2 linked regions of the Caenorhabditis elegans genome follow. The protein of the gene in region 1 interacts with the protein of each later gene in a biochemical or structural test. Each region holds a gene or a part of one and is shown in the gene's direction. Other genes may lie near its edges.

Region 1 (8,328 bases):
TACCCAATAGTTACTGATATTCTTGTCAGTTCATCAAATTTAAAACTTGTGTTTGGATAGTACTAATCAAGCTTACTATCAGATTGATAGTATTGTATTTTACTTCAACTTACCGCAACAAAAAAACCGGATTGTCCGTCATCTATGCTCATTTCCCTAATTTCTCAGATAGTCCATAGATTTTTGCCCATATCCTTTACGTTATTCCTTTCATTTTGTGAACCATGACCGACGCGGTTCGATGACGATCTTTCGCGTGAGATACTGACTCCATGTTTGAGGGTTTCGTAGCTGAAAATGCTCTCAGTCTTCCCGAGACAACGTTTGCTCTCATTCATGATTCATTCGATATGTGAACTTTTTTCTACTTCCACTTTTAGTATTTATTCGTTTTAAATAAGTATGAAATGAATAATCCACCTCTTGCTTTTTTTGCAGTTCCTATAAGTTCACGAATGTATTTTTCATATCCATTTCCTTCATTTTCAATTTAATTCGATAATTATCGTTATAGTTTTTAAGACTATTTTTCCGTACACAACTTTGCACATAATGACTATCTGAGTCAAGCTCACTTTTCCGCTAAAATGAATACGCAAGAATATCAAGAGCTCACTTTTAGAACTTCGATATTTTTGTTTTTCTTAGAGTGAATACATCTTCCAAAAATACATCGAATGTTTTTTCCAAGAAAATGCTCGTTTGAACAACGAGTGTAAAAATATGTCCTTGAGCTATGAATTATGAAATATGTGAATGGTCAACTAGAGCTTGCCAAAAAATATGAATTTTTTCTTCAAAGTCTTCAATTTAAAGTATATATTTTATCCGGAAATTACAATGACATCATGTTAATTTTCTTTTTTTTTAAACTTTTTTTCATTTTGGTGAGTGAGTATATCTACAATTAGAATGAATAAGTTGATCAAAATCGTTTGAAAAAATTTTATCATTGTATTATTTTACATATAAAAGTTAAAAATACAAAGAATCCAATTTTCAAACTCTTTTTCTAAACAGAAACAAGTCTTTATCGCTCTTTGATTTTGGTTTGGGTACAATATCTCAGTAAAACCATACTTCTTTAACTAATCTTGTATTTTGACAAATCATATTTAAAGTGAGTTTTCGTAAATTATTATTCCCCGTAATTGGAACAGGTTTCAAATATCAAATAACATTTCTTCAATCATCATTGCTTATTCAAAGAACCTCCTTTGTTTTTGTGAAAGCTACGTGATGATACCAGCCGTTCACGACTTTTTGGCTTCCACTTCTCCGCTAACATATTCATTACTGACCATGCAGTCCCCTTTTTCTCAGTAGTTATTCACAAATTCTTGATACTATATATAGTCGAACATCATAAAAATGACTAGTAGTATATTTCAATTCTGCTTCGTCTTTTCATTGATGCCCTACTATTTACCAGAACTCACTTTTTTGAAGCCATTTTGTAAGGCATCAATAAAGTAAGACTAGTTAGTCTTGAAGATCCAACTGTTTTTTTGTTTTGAAAAGAAAGAAAAACTTAAGAAATTAGTGGATGGTTTTGTTCAAAATTTTCGAAAATAAGTGTATTTTCTCCTAGACTTTTTGAAAGTACGAGTAACAAAAACGTATCTTACTGAAATTGTCAACTATGTGTTTTTGTTTTAAATTTTCACTCTTATCTTAGTTTACTTTCTTTTTCTTAACAAACCAAAACTCTGATTTTGAAAAAAAGTTCTCATTTAATTATTCGCTCGAATAAACTAATTACAAGTTCATTTTTGTGTTAGTATGTATACCATAAATTTTACTTCCTACTTTCTCCGAAGTTTCATATATATTCGTTTTGTTTTACAAGTTTTATATTGAAGAATTTAGTCACCTAATACCATTTTCAAGGATGTATGTTAATCGTTAAATTTGAATAGACCCCTACGTCACTGCTTCTTTTTTTCAACTTTTGAACTTTGGTTGCTCCGTCTTCGCTTTTTTGTTTCGTTTCAACCAAAACTCAATTATCTCTTAGTTAGAGCCTTTTTTCTTTCTAAAACCAATTTTTATCGTGTTCCAGTGTGTGCCACACCACTTCGGCCTCTGGCTATGAACTCGACAGTTATTTCGCTTCTTAATAATTCTACACTGGTCACTACGGATCAGCCAGGTTTTTCTGGAAGTACAAAAGGAACATGCAGCTATCCAACTAATTTTGCGGAGGTCGATTACATTAGCACATATATTTACCTGCTTGCCATTCCAACAATTTGCGTGCTGGGAGCCGGCGCTGCGGTAATGTGCATTGTGGTGTTCACTAGGAAACAAATGAGGTTCGTTTTATTGAAGAGTACTTGTGAGAGTATATCTAGAAAGGACTGAATTCGAATTACCTATCCACTTCACTTTTTAAGTTAGAAAATATAAGAGACGCAAAGAAAATCTGTTCCCCGCAACGAAAAGACTTCGAACGTTTTGAGAAAGGACGACGAAGTCACGTGGCTTACGGAAACGTGTACGAGGGAAACTTTTTCATTTTTCTGCGTCTATATCTTCTAACAAACACAGTAACGTGGATAGGTAATATGTTTAATCATTATTTCTAAAAAAATGAATATGTGATGCGTGTATATCTGTACCCCAAATGGTTCACAGGAAAATAATAATTTTTATATGAAAAAAAAACGATAGCAGTTTTTTTTTTCACAAATTATGTTTCTGCCTTTTTTGTCGAATAAAGAAGGAGTCTTGTCCAACAAGTAAATCAAAAATAAAGTTAGGGAAACACCAAATGTTTTTCCCTGATAAAAATACGCTATTTAGTTCTAAAAATAAATATTTATTAGCCTATATATTTATAAAAATTTACCTCACATTAGTCAAAAACGAGCTATAGCTTTAGGCTGCTATTCATTTCAAAAAATGATCAAAAACTATTCAAATAAATCTTTCAATTTGTTCTTGCTGCACAATTCAATTGAAACAGTGATTTCAAATTTTCTTGGCCCTTAATAAACATTTTAATTCATGTACAACTGACGACATTTTTATGATTTTTTTTGATTGTATTAATCTTTTTGAAAAATTAATGACATCAAATTGTTCCCCATTTATTTAGTTTTAATTTTCTTTGGTAGTCTGTTCAAATACTCATTTCAAGAAAAAAGAGCAAATAAGGATACATAGAAATACAAAATATTTTTAACTTCAGATCATCACTCAACGTATATCTTGCCGGATTATCGGTTTTCGATCTTATCCTGCTTTCATTCAGTGCTCTGATCTTTTCACCTCTCCAAGGTTGCGTTTTGCAGGTGAGCGTAGATAACTGGTTGATATTCAGTGGAATTTGTAATGAGATGAAGAAATGTCCATCAATTTATTCATCGATAAGCTCATAGCACGGAAAGAGAAATGAAAAAAGTTATTTATGATATTGAAGAGGGATTTAATATTTCTCAAAACTTCGAGTTTCATCAAGGTCTGAAATAATTTTCTAATGTCTTAGAAACTGCGTATAATTTATGTTTCCAGAAATATGAATGTTTCAGAACACCACTAAAAACAACTATGTTAGCAATAATTCAAATAAACTATTCAGGGTCACGGGGACACCGCGGTTTGTCATTTCTTCTGGAGATCAACTCCTTGGACGTTACCCATATCAAATATCGCACAATGTGGTAGTGTCTGGACATGTGTTGCAGTGACGGTGGATCGATTTCTTGCTGTTAACTATCCGCTTCATAGCAAAATTTGGTGCACACCGCGCCGAGCAACAACAATACTTATTGCGATTACGGTTTTTAGCATATTGTTCAAAGTAAGTACAAGAATTGTCAATTTTTTATTTTGTATTTCGAAATACACACAACGTTTTAAAGTTTCGTATCCTGACTATTATGGTCTAAAGTAATGTTTTTATAATATATCAAATTTGCATATTACGGAAGTCTGTTGCTACGATAATTGTAGTTTAAAGGTTTTTTAAAATAAAATTTCTTGTGAAAACAAACATCAATGCTATTAGAGTTTGTGACCCCAGTTTTAAAATCATTCAAGCATTCAGAATATTAAACATGTCAGCACACTGTTCATTGATAATAAGTTGATCACTGTGTGAAAATGTTCAATTTTATTTTAGAATTTTTAAAATATACATTTGCGTGTGTATATCAAAACACAAGAGCTACTGACTTTGATTTCTAAGACACCGGGGAAAACATGAAAGTTGAAAAAAAATTAATTCGTAATTTACATTATCACAAAATTAAAAATTCTGTGGAGGAAAAGCAGATGAGCTTGAAATTCCAGTATTTATAATATTTAATATTAACTCGAAAATCGCTGTTTTTTATAAATTATTTTCCATCAGATTGTAATTTTACAAATTGAAAAAAAGTACACTCAAAAACACTAGAAAACTTACAATACGCTTTTTAGGTTCCCCTAGTTTCAATGAATAACTTAGAGATTTTTCAATATTTAGCAGTGCTGTGCGGCCCTTGAAAAAAGTCGGCTCTCGGCGCAAGCCGCACAGCACTGATATTTAGCTCAAAATTTAATTTAAAAAAAATGAGTTAGGTACAATTATACAAAATCCCTACCTTTTTTCATCTTGTTTTAATTTTACGGCCAACTTGAACCACGCAAAACTTTTAGGTTGTGAATACAACATTGGTAGTTTCTTTTTTTGTGTTATTTTCTGATTCAAAAGACTATATGGATTGTTATTCTAAATGTTCTAAATTAATGTACTACTTTGCAAACTGAGGAACATCGTAATAAGTTTAGTAGGCGACTATCCGTGATACAAGTCATCTTCAGGCACCAATGTTCTTCGAGTTGACCAACGATGACTGTGGTCGACTGAGAACCTCATTTCTGCGGGATAATAAGTACTACAAAGAGTACTACGTAACATTTGGGTACCTCATCGCGCTGTTATTGATTCCATGGACAGTAATGATTATACTGAATGTGTTTGTGGTAAAGGCTGTACACAAGGCGTATAAGATTCGGAGGTCTATGCAAGGAGGAAAAAATAATCAAGAAGAAAAAGATCGGAGGTGTGGTTTTATCATTTTTATTTTTAATTATTTTTTAAACTTTGGTTTCACCAGTTTTTTGATGTTAAGTTCGGTTCTCTAGTTTCTTAAAAATTTTCAAATACATCGATTTACATTTTTTAATGATTATTTATTTTTCTTATTTCAAGCATGGACTGCTAACGTTTATTACAAGAACCGAACCAGCTTTTTTGATTTTTGCATGTTTTTGTTATTTTTTATTATCTGAAAACAACTATCGCTCAGAACTTTTCTCCCTCTTTTTTTTCGATTCGACAAAATTCAAAAACAGTAGAAAACAGTTTGTCTCCCAAGTTCAGAAACAGTCTCAGATGCACTCTTATGGCCATCGCTATGGTGCTCACTTTCTTGATCTTCAACGTAGTAGCAGCAGTGAACAACTTGGCTGAGACGGTGTTCGAAGTGAGCTTAGGATTTTGGAGTCCCATTGGAAATTTGCTAATTTGTTTAAACAGGTAAGAAGTTTTAGTAATTATAACGTGTTAGAAGCTGTGTGCTCGAAAAACTTTAGAATCGGTTTCTACATGAAAGTGGCAGAGAGCACATTAGTATGGAAAAAGAAACTTTTCCGGGTTACTTTTTGGGTTCAATCTGTCTTTTCGAAATGTTTTCCAAATATTGCCATGATTTTAAGATGCTTTGAAACACTGAAAATGACCCTAAGTAATTTCAAAAAAATTTTCAAAGAAGTCTGAATCAAGTTCGGTGAAATAAATCATTCAATCTAAAAGTTTAAAATCCTCAACATCAACGCAAACTTTTGAAAATGAACAAGTAAACATTTTATACCAAACACCACCTTCCAATTTTATATCACAGAGGTTATAAAATTGGAAGTGCATGATGCTGAATCGTTTTTCAAATAGAGTTATTGAATGAAAAATAAATGAACTTAAGCCCTAGTGTGGCAAGGTTTTTGAATTGTATGTATGAACAAATAACCTTTAGCGCTTCCAACATCGTGATCTACTCGTTATTCGGAGCCCGATTTCGTCAAATGTGTGTCCTCATGCTTTGCGGGCGACAAAGTCGATGGATGGAGTGGCTCAAAGTTGGAAGGTACCCACCTCAGTAATTCTATCACTGCATTGTTCAAATTTTCTAAAAATTGTCATTCAGGAGCATGGTCAGTGATTGGGATGGTAGAGATGGTACGACGAGGAAAACTAGTTTGGACGCCAGTACTGCTCTGTTAAGTGCGAGGGTAAGCTTTAAAAAAAGTAAATCGGTACATTCATTATTAATTATTCTTCTTTAATGAACATTCTCGATTAATTGAAAACAATTTCATATTTCTTTACTATGCTTTTGCTTTTTGGTATACTGCTTTGTAAATTGTTTTCAAAAGAACCATTACAGCGAATGACGATTTCGAATTTCATAACCTACCCGGTGGTAAGTTTTGTGTGGAAAATAGAAATAATATTGTCTAGAAACGCATTTAGTTCGTGTGCAGTTTCATTTTCTCCCCGGACTGATTTGCATGTACCTTACCCATTTTCCCCAATATACTTAATCTCCAACCTCTTAGAGTTTTTATTTGATTTATTTTTTGATTTCTTGATAATATTGGTTCTAACATAATTTGTTCTGATTGGAAACTGGGGTTAATGCGTTTTAAATAGAGTAGTTTATAAATTTGAAGCAAATTTTTTTAATATGATAACTGTGGAAAGCGGACAAAATTTTTTAAACAAGTTTCACAGTTTAATTATCTTTCCATCAATAATATTTAAACAATATAGCTGTTTCGTTACTGTTTTGGTAATTTGTTAATTTACCGAAAGTTTGACGTTCATATTTGAAACATCCATTTTTTCTTTAGTAATTAACTATAATACTCAAACATACAGTATGTAAAATAAAGTTTCCATAAAGTTTCAAAAATTTGTGTTTCAGAGTTCTCGCCGATGGAGTAAACGGAGTCAAAGTGGTGCACCACATCAAGCAGCTCCTGCTCGAAAAGATACAGTAATCTACACAAGTGCTCAAAACAGACTTTCGCTTCAAAGCGCACCTTCATAACGGAAAACACGTCAAACCTTTATCATGTTTCTGTATATATCTTTACTGCACATCTTCATGGATTTTGTTAATTTGAGCATTTTTTCGATACCATGTATTATTTGATAAGAACTGCAATATCATTATGAATTGAACGCTTCATTTCTGTTTTGTTTTTTTTTGTTTCGTTTCTAATATTTATTTTTCACCTGCCTGCCATAATCAAAAGTTACTAGTTACAAATTGTCTAGTCTAAAAGTAGTACTGGTCATCTCCCTCCAAAATCATCCCGATTCTTGCGATCTCTTTTGTATTCATTTTCTTGGGTTGCTAACATTTGACCAATTCATTTCAGCTTGGCTAGTTTTACTTAAGTGTCACTAAAAATTGCTCGGAAAATTGTTAATTGAGTCCAAGTTTGATTATTTCAGACTTATATAGTTTTATATTTTCTCCGCAATTTTTGAATTCACGTTTTTGGATGATAATGCTCAAGATTTCATTGTGAAATACAGCAATGGTCCAATAAAGTAAATTTCTCGTATATTTAAAAAAAAGTATTATTTATTCAAAATTATGCTTATGTTTATCTTTTAAGCTTTTGGGAATCGGGAATAATATATGTTCAATTATTTTCATTGATTTTCCTCACTCAACAGTCCCAATATTTTTACTAGGAATATGAATACATTCGGACAAATCGTTCGATCAAATTCAGGGTGGGGATGCCTCATAAAATTTGCAGGCACAGCTTAAATGTTTATCAAGTTACAGTCAATACTCTGAAATGTGTATCCGCTCGATATGTGCAGGGAACCATTGTACTTTGAAAACTGTGTCAATATTATATTCAATAAAATTGGTAGGTCAAGTTTCGAAAGGATTTTTGAAAAATCAAATTCACGATGAAAAAAAAAATTCTTTTACTTTCGTGAAGGACAAAGCAAAAAAATTCTCACAAAAATGGCGAGCAATATCCCATTTATATTTTATATATCCGTTCTGGTGCACATCAGTTCAAATAGACGTAAAGCAGAAGTGTGTATAGCGCACATGCGGACACCTCGCGGGTTCCGCCGGCTACTGTGTTTTGAATCCGATGGACGTGGCCAGCAGCAGTTTGTCCCTCTGGAAAAGGAAATTATATCAGCTGGTTCAACGCAGAATTATCTCAATGTTTTTATTATTTCACGCAAAAGTTAAGAAAAAAGTAAAGCTTAAATATGTTCGGTAACATCACATTTTAATAAAA
Region 2 (2,997 bases), 1.4 Mb from region 1:
CTCAAAACTATCTTTAGCACTTCTCCTAAGTCATTTCCACTCATTCTAGCCACTAATTATCTATCGTCGCCCGCAAAAATTGCAACTTTCTTGAAGATTAGCCCCATCAAAACGTATTTCCTTAACATCCTCATGTTTTTAGTACCTTTCACTCCATATTTGACTGGGTAAGTGATGTCAATTTCCTTTGCTTTCCATCCCTTGTACATAGTTCGTTTGATGACCTGAAATTGCAATACTGAAGATGATAATGATTGATTTGATGCGTCATGAGAAATTCCAACAAGACAAACAAAGGAGGAGTTTGGAGCCAGTTTCAGATAATTGCAAAACTATAAATGCGCTAGCTCTCCTCTGGTTTTTTCATTTGTATGATCTTCTTCCTTGTTTCCCCTTTATGTACCAACCTCCATATCAACCATTGAAAGAACTGGCTGCTCCAAGATGAGCCGACTGGCAAGTTCGGTGTCTGGCTCAAGCATGTTAGACTCAGGTCCAATTGGGCATCTCAACGACATGACGATTTGTTCACGGAAAGGGTCAATTGGTGGGTTGGTGACCTGTAATCAAGTGCTCAATCTGTGTTCACTCTACCAGGAACTTTTCTCACTTTTTAATACATATTTTCATGAACAATTTTTTCTAATTCTTTCACTCGGACGTCATAGTTAAACAAGCTTAGAAATGAAAATACATTTCTCCAAAAAAAGTCGTCGTTCCTCAAAATTACGATTTTGGGCAGTCTTAAGTTTGTTTTTCTAATCAACTACATGGATAGAATAGGAGGAGTATGCGAATGAAGTCAAAACAATTTAATGGCCTCCGACTACTTTTCTAGATTTGAACTTCGAAGAACCGTTGGTTACTCTCTTTACTCATTTTTTCCCATTCTGCTTATGAACCCACCTGGGCGAAGAGTTGCTGGAAATAACTGAACAACAGCGGGCTGTAATCAGACAGACAAGCCAACGCAGCATCATTCCCCATTGACCCGAGAGCTTCCTTCTTCTCCTTGATCATTGGAACTAAGAGCAAGCTGAAAGTGTCATGGGTATAGGCATACAAGGCCAGACGACGGTCAGAGTCTAGATGAACATCCTTTTTCTTCATAAGACCAGGGTTCACCTGCTCCAAATGAAGACGATTAAGGTATTCATTGGTGACGGCACCGTGAGAGAGCTAAAAATTAGTTAAAATTTGTCACAATTCAATTTTTTTTTTGTCTTTTACTACTAACCACATCATCCTTGCGAATCAAGTCCAAGTAGATTCTCGATGCGGAAAGTTGCTTATGAGGTCTTGACAAAGCAATTCTTGTCTTAAGGTCCTCATCGAGCTCGATCTTTTTGAGATGTGTGTCCACAAGGAGCATGCGTCCGGGTTTGAGACGATCCTGTAAAGTACATTGATTATAATTAAAATAACTTATTTATTGCAATTCATTTAATTCCTCTGGAGACTTTTGCGCGTGCTTCACTAGTCTGATCTTTCACGTCTTCACTCAAAATCACCATTTCTACATGATGAGATGTTATTGCGCAACTGCTCTCGCCCAACGCTCTTTGACGCTAGTTCACATTGTAATCCGATCTGTACGAGCTAATGAGCACGCATCACCCACTTTCTCTACATTTCTATCTGCTCTTCGTTTTACTATCTCTTGCCAAAAACGATCTCGTGTGAAAAAGCTCTCCATTTTCAGGTACACACCCGCACACAGAGCTTTCGTCTGACTCATTGTCAGTCGTTGCCAAACCAATTGTCGCAAACCATGCAAGTTTCTGGAATCCTATCTGCTCTTTTCCTCGTCCTTCTCGCCGTCATTGTAAGTCCCTTCCAGTTTGTGCAACCAAAGCGGATACTCCCCATTCCCACTAGTCGGGATCAGTTATTACGTGGCCAACTAGCTTATTTAAAGGGTACTACTGTCGCCCAGCCAGCTGTCAACGACAACACTCTTGGAATTTTCGAAGCTTCAGCAATGGCAAAACGTCTTCGTGGAGAACCCATTCGTTTTGGCAAACGCTCCCCGCGCGAGCCCATTCGGTGAGTATGAGAGATAATTGATGATATGAAGTATATCAAGTAGTTTAAAAGTTTCCGAATTTTTTTCAAAATTTGGAAAAACAACATAAATCAAGCTTAAAACCCAAACACATATTTGGAAACGTCATGTATTCTTACTAGAATCACTTCTTACAAAAATGTTTAATACACTTGCAGATCGATAGAATTTATTTTATTATTTTCAGTTTCGGAAAACGATTCAATCCGCTGCCAGATTACGACTTCCAATAACTCCATCCTATCAATGATTCAATGCACGGTGAACCCCACTACTCAGCCAACATCATATTAGATATTCCAACATTTTCTTCCCATTCTCGTCCTATATTTTGATCCGTACTTTCAATGCAACAACATTTTTTAAACTATGTTTCCTATAACTTCGAATAAAGTGGTTGGGTTCCGCATGGAATAATAGCCCATCTGTTAACCAAGTCTTACGTTTTCTTCGCGAACAAAGGAAACGACTACTGGCACTGAATTTCAGATTTTAGCCAGATTAGGTCAGAAAACGAGGCACACTATTTTCAAGATCAAAATTTTAAAATTCAGTCTTGCTAGTTCTTCAAAGAATTGTTTCGGAAATGTCAATGAGTGCTCATAATTAAACATGTGGAGTGACTTTGGAAGGTGCTAGAATTTCCAAGAAGCTTTGATTTATTAGTTTTCGTTTTAATTTCAAAACACTGTTCAATCTTGAGAACAAGATTAGTTCAACCTACTTAATCATTTCTCGCGTTCTGACAAGTGACGTTTTTGACAAAAAATAATGTTTAATTATTCAAAAACAGAAAATCCCCCCTCCTTAAAGCTCAGTTCATTAATCAGCTTCGCTTCACAAATTCGACAAGGTGGCATCTCAACCAACAGGCACCAATCGGATTCTGTCATTTCTTTCTTTTTTGAGAACAAATGTCTATCTACGTTTTG

What was found. Proteins that work in one complex are often made in the same cells at the same time.
Region 2: the proteins of frpr-8 (region 1) and flp-2 interact in a test that uses a peptide from one of them, tested with the Caenorhabditis elegans proteins (one large-scale study listed by BioGRID).

What each region holds. Positions count from the first base shown.
Region 1 is NC_003284.9:8,695,726-8,704,053, forward strand, and holds frpr-8 (G-protein coupled receptors family 1 profile domain-containing protein), read left to right. Parts: upstream 1-2,091; coding exon 2,092-2,315; intron 2,316-3,193; coding exon 3,194-3,296; intron 3,297-3,583; coding exon 3,584-3,805; intron 3,806-4,809; coding exon 4,810-5,051; intron 5,052-5,383; coding exon 5,384-5,527; intron 5,528-6,020; coding exon 6,021-6,143; intron 6,144-6,191; coding exon 6,192-6,276; intron 6,277-6,431; coding exon 6,432-6,467; intron 6,468-6,971; coding exon 6,972-7,097; downstream 7,098-8,328.
Region 2 is NC_003284.9:10,093,930-10,096,926, reverse strand, and holds flp-2 (SPREPIRF-amide), read left to right. Parts: upstream 1-1,702; 5' UTR 1,703-1,771; coding exon 1,772-2,046; intron 2,047-2,252; coding exon 2,253-2,298; 3' UTR 2,299-2,497; downstream 2,498-2,997. Other genes in the region: W07E11.1 (glutamate synthase (NADH)), read right to left, coding at 146-224, 408-560, 907-1,179, 1,238-1,393.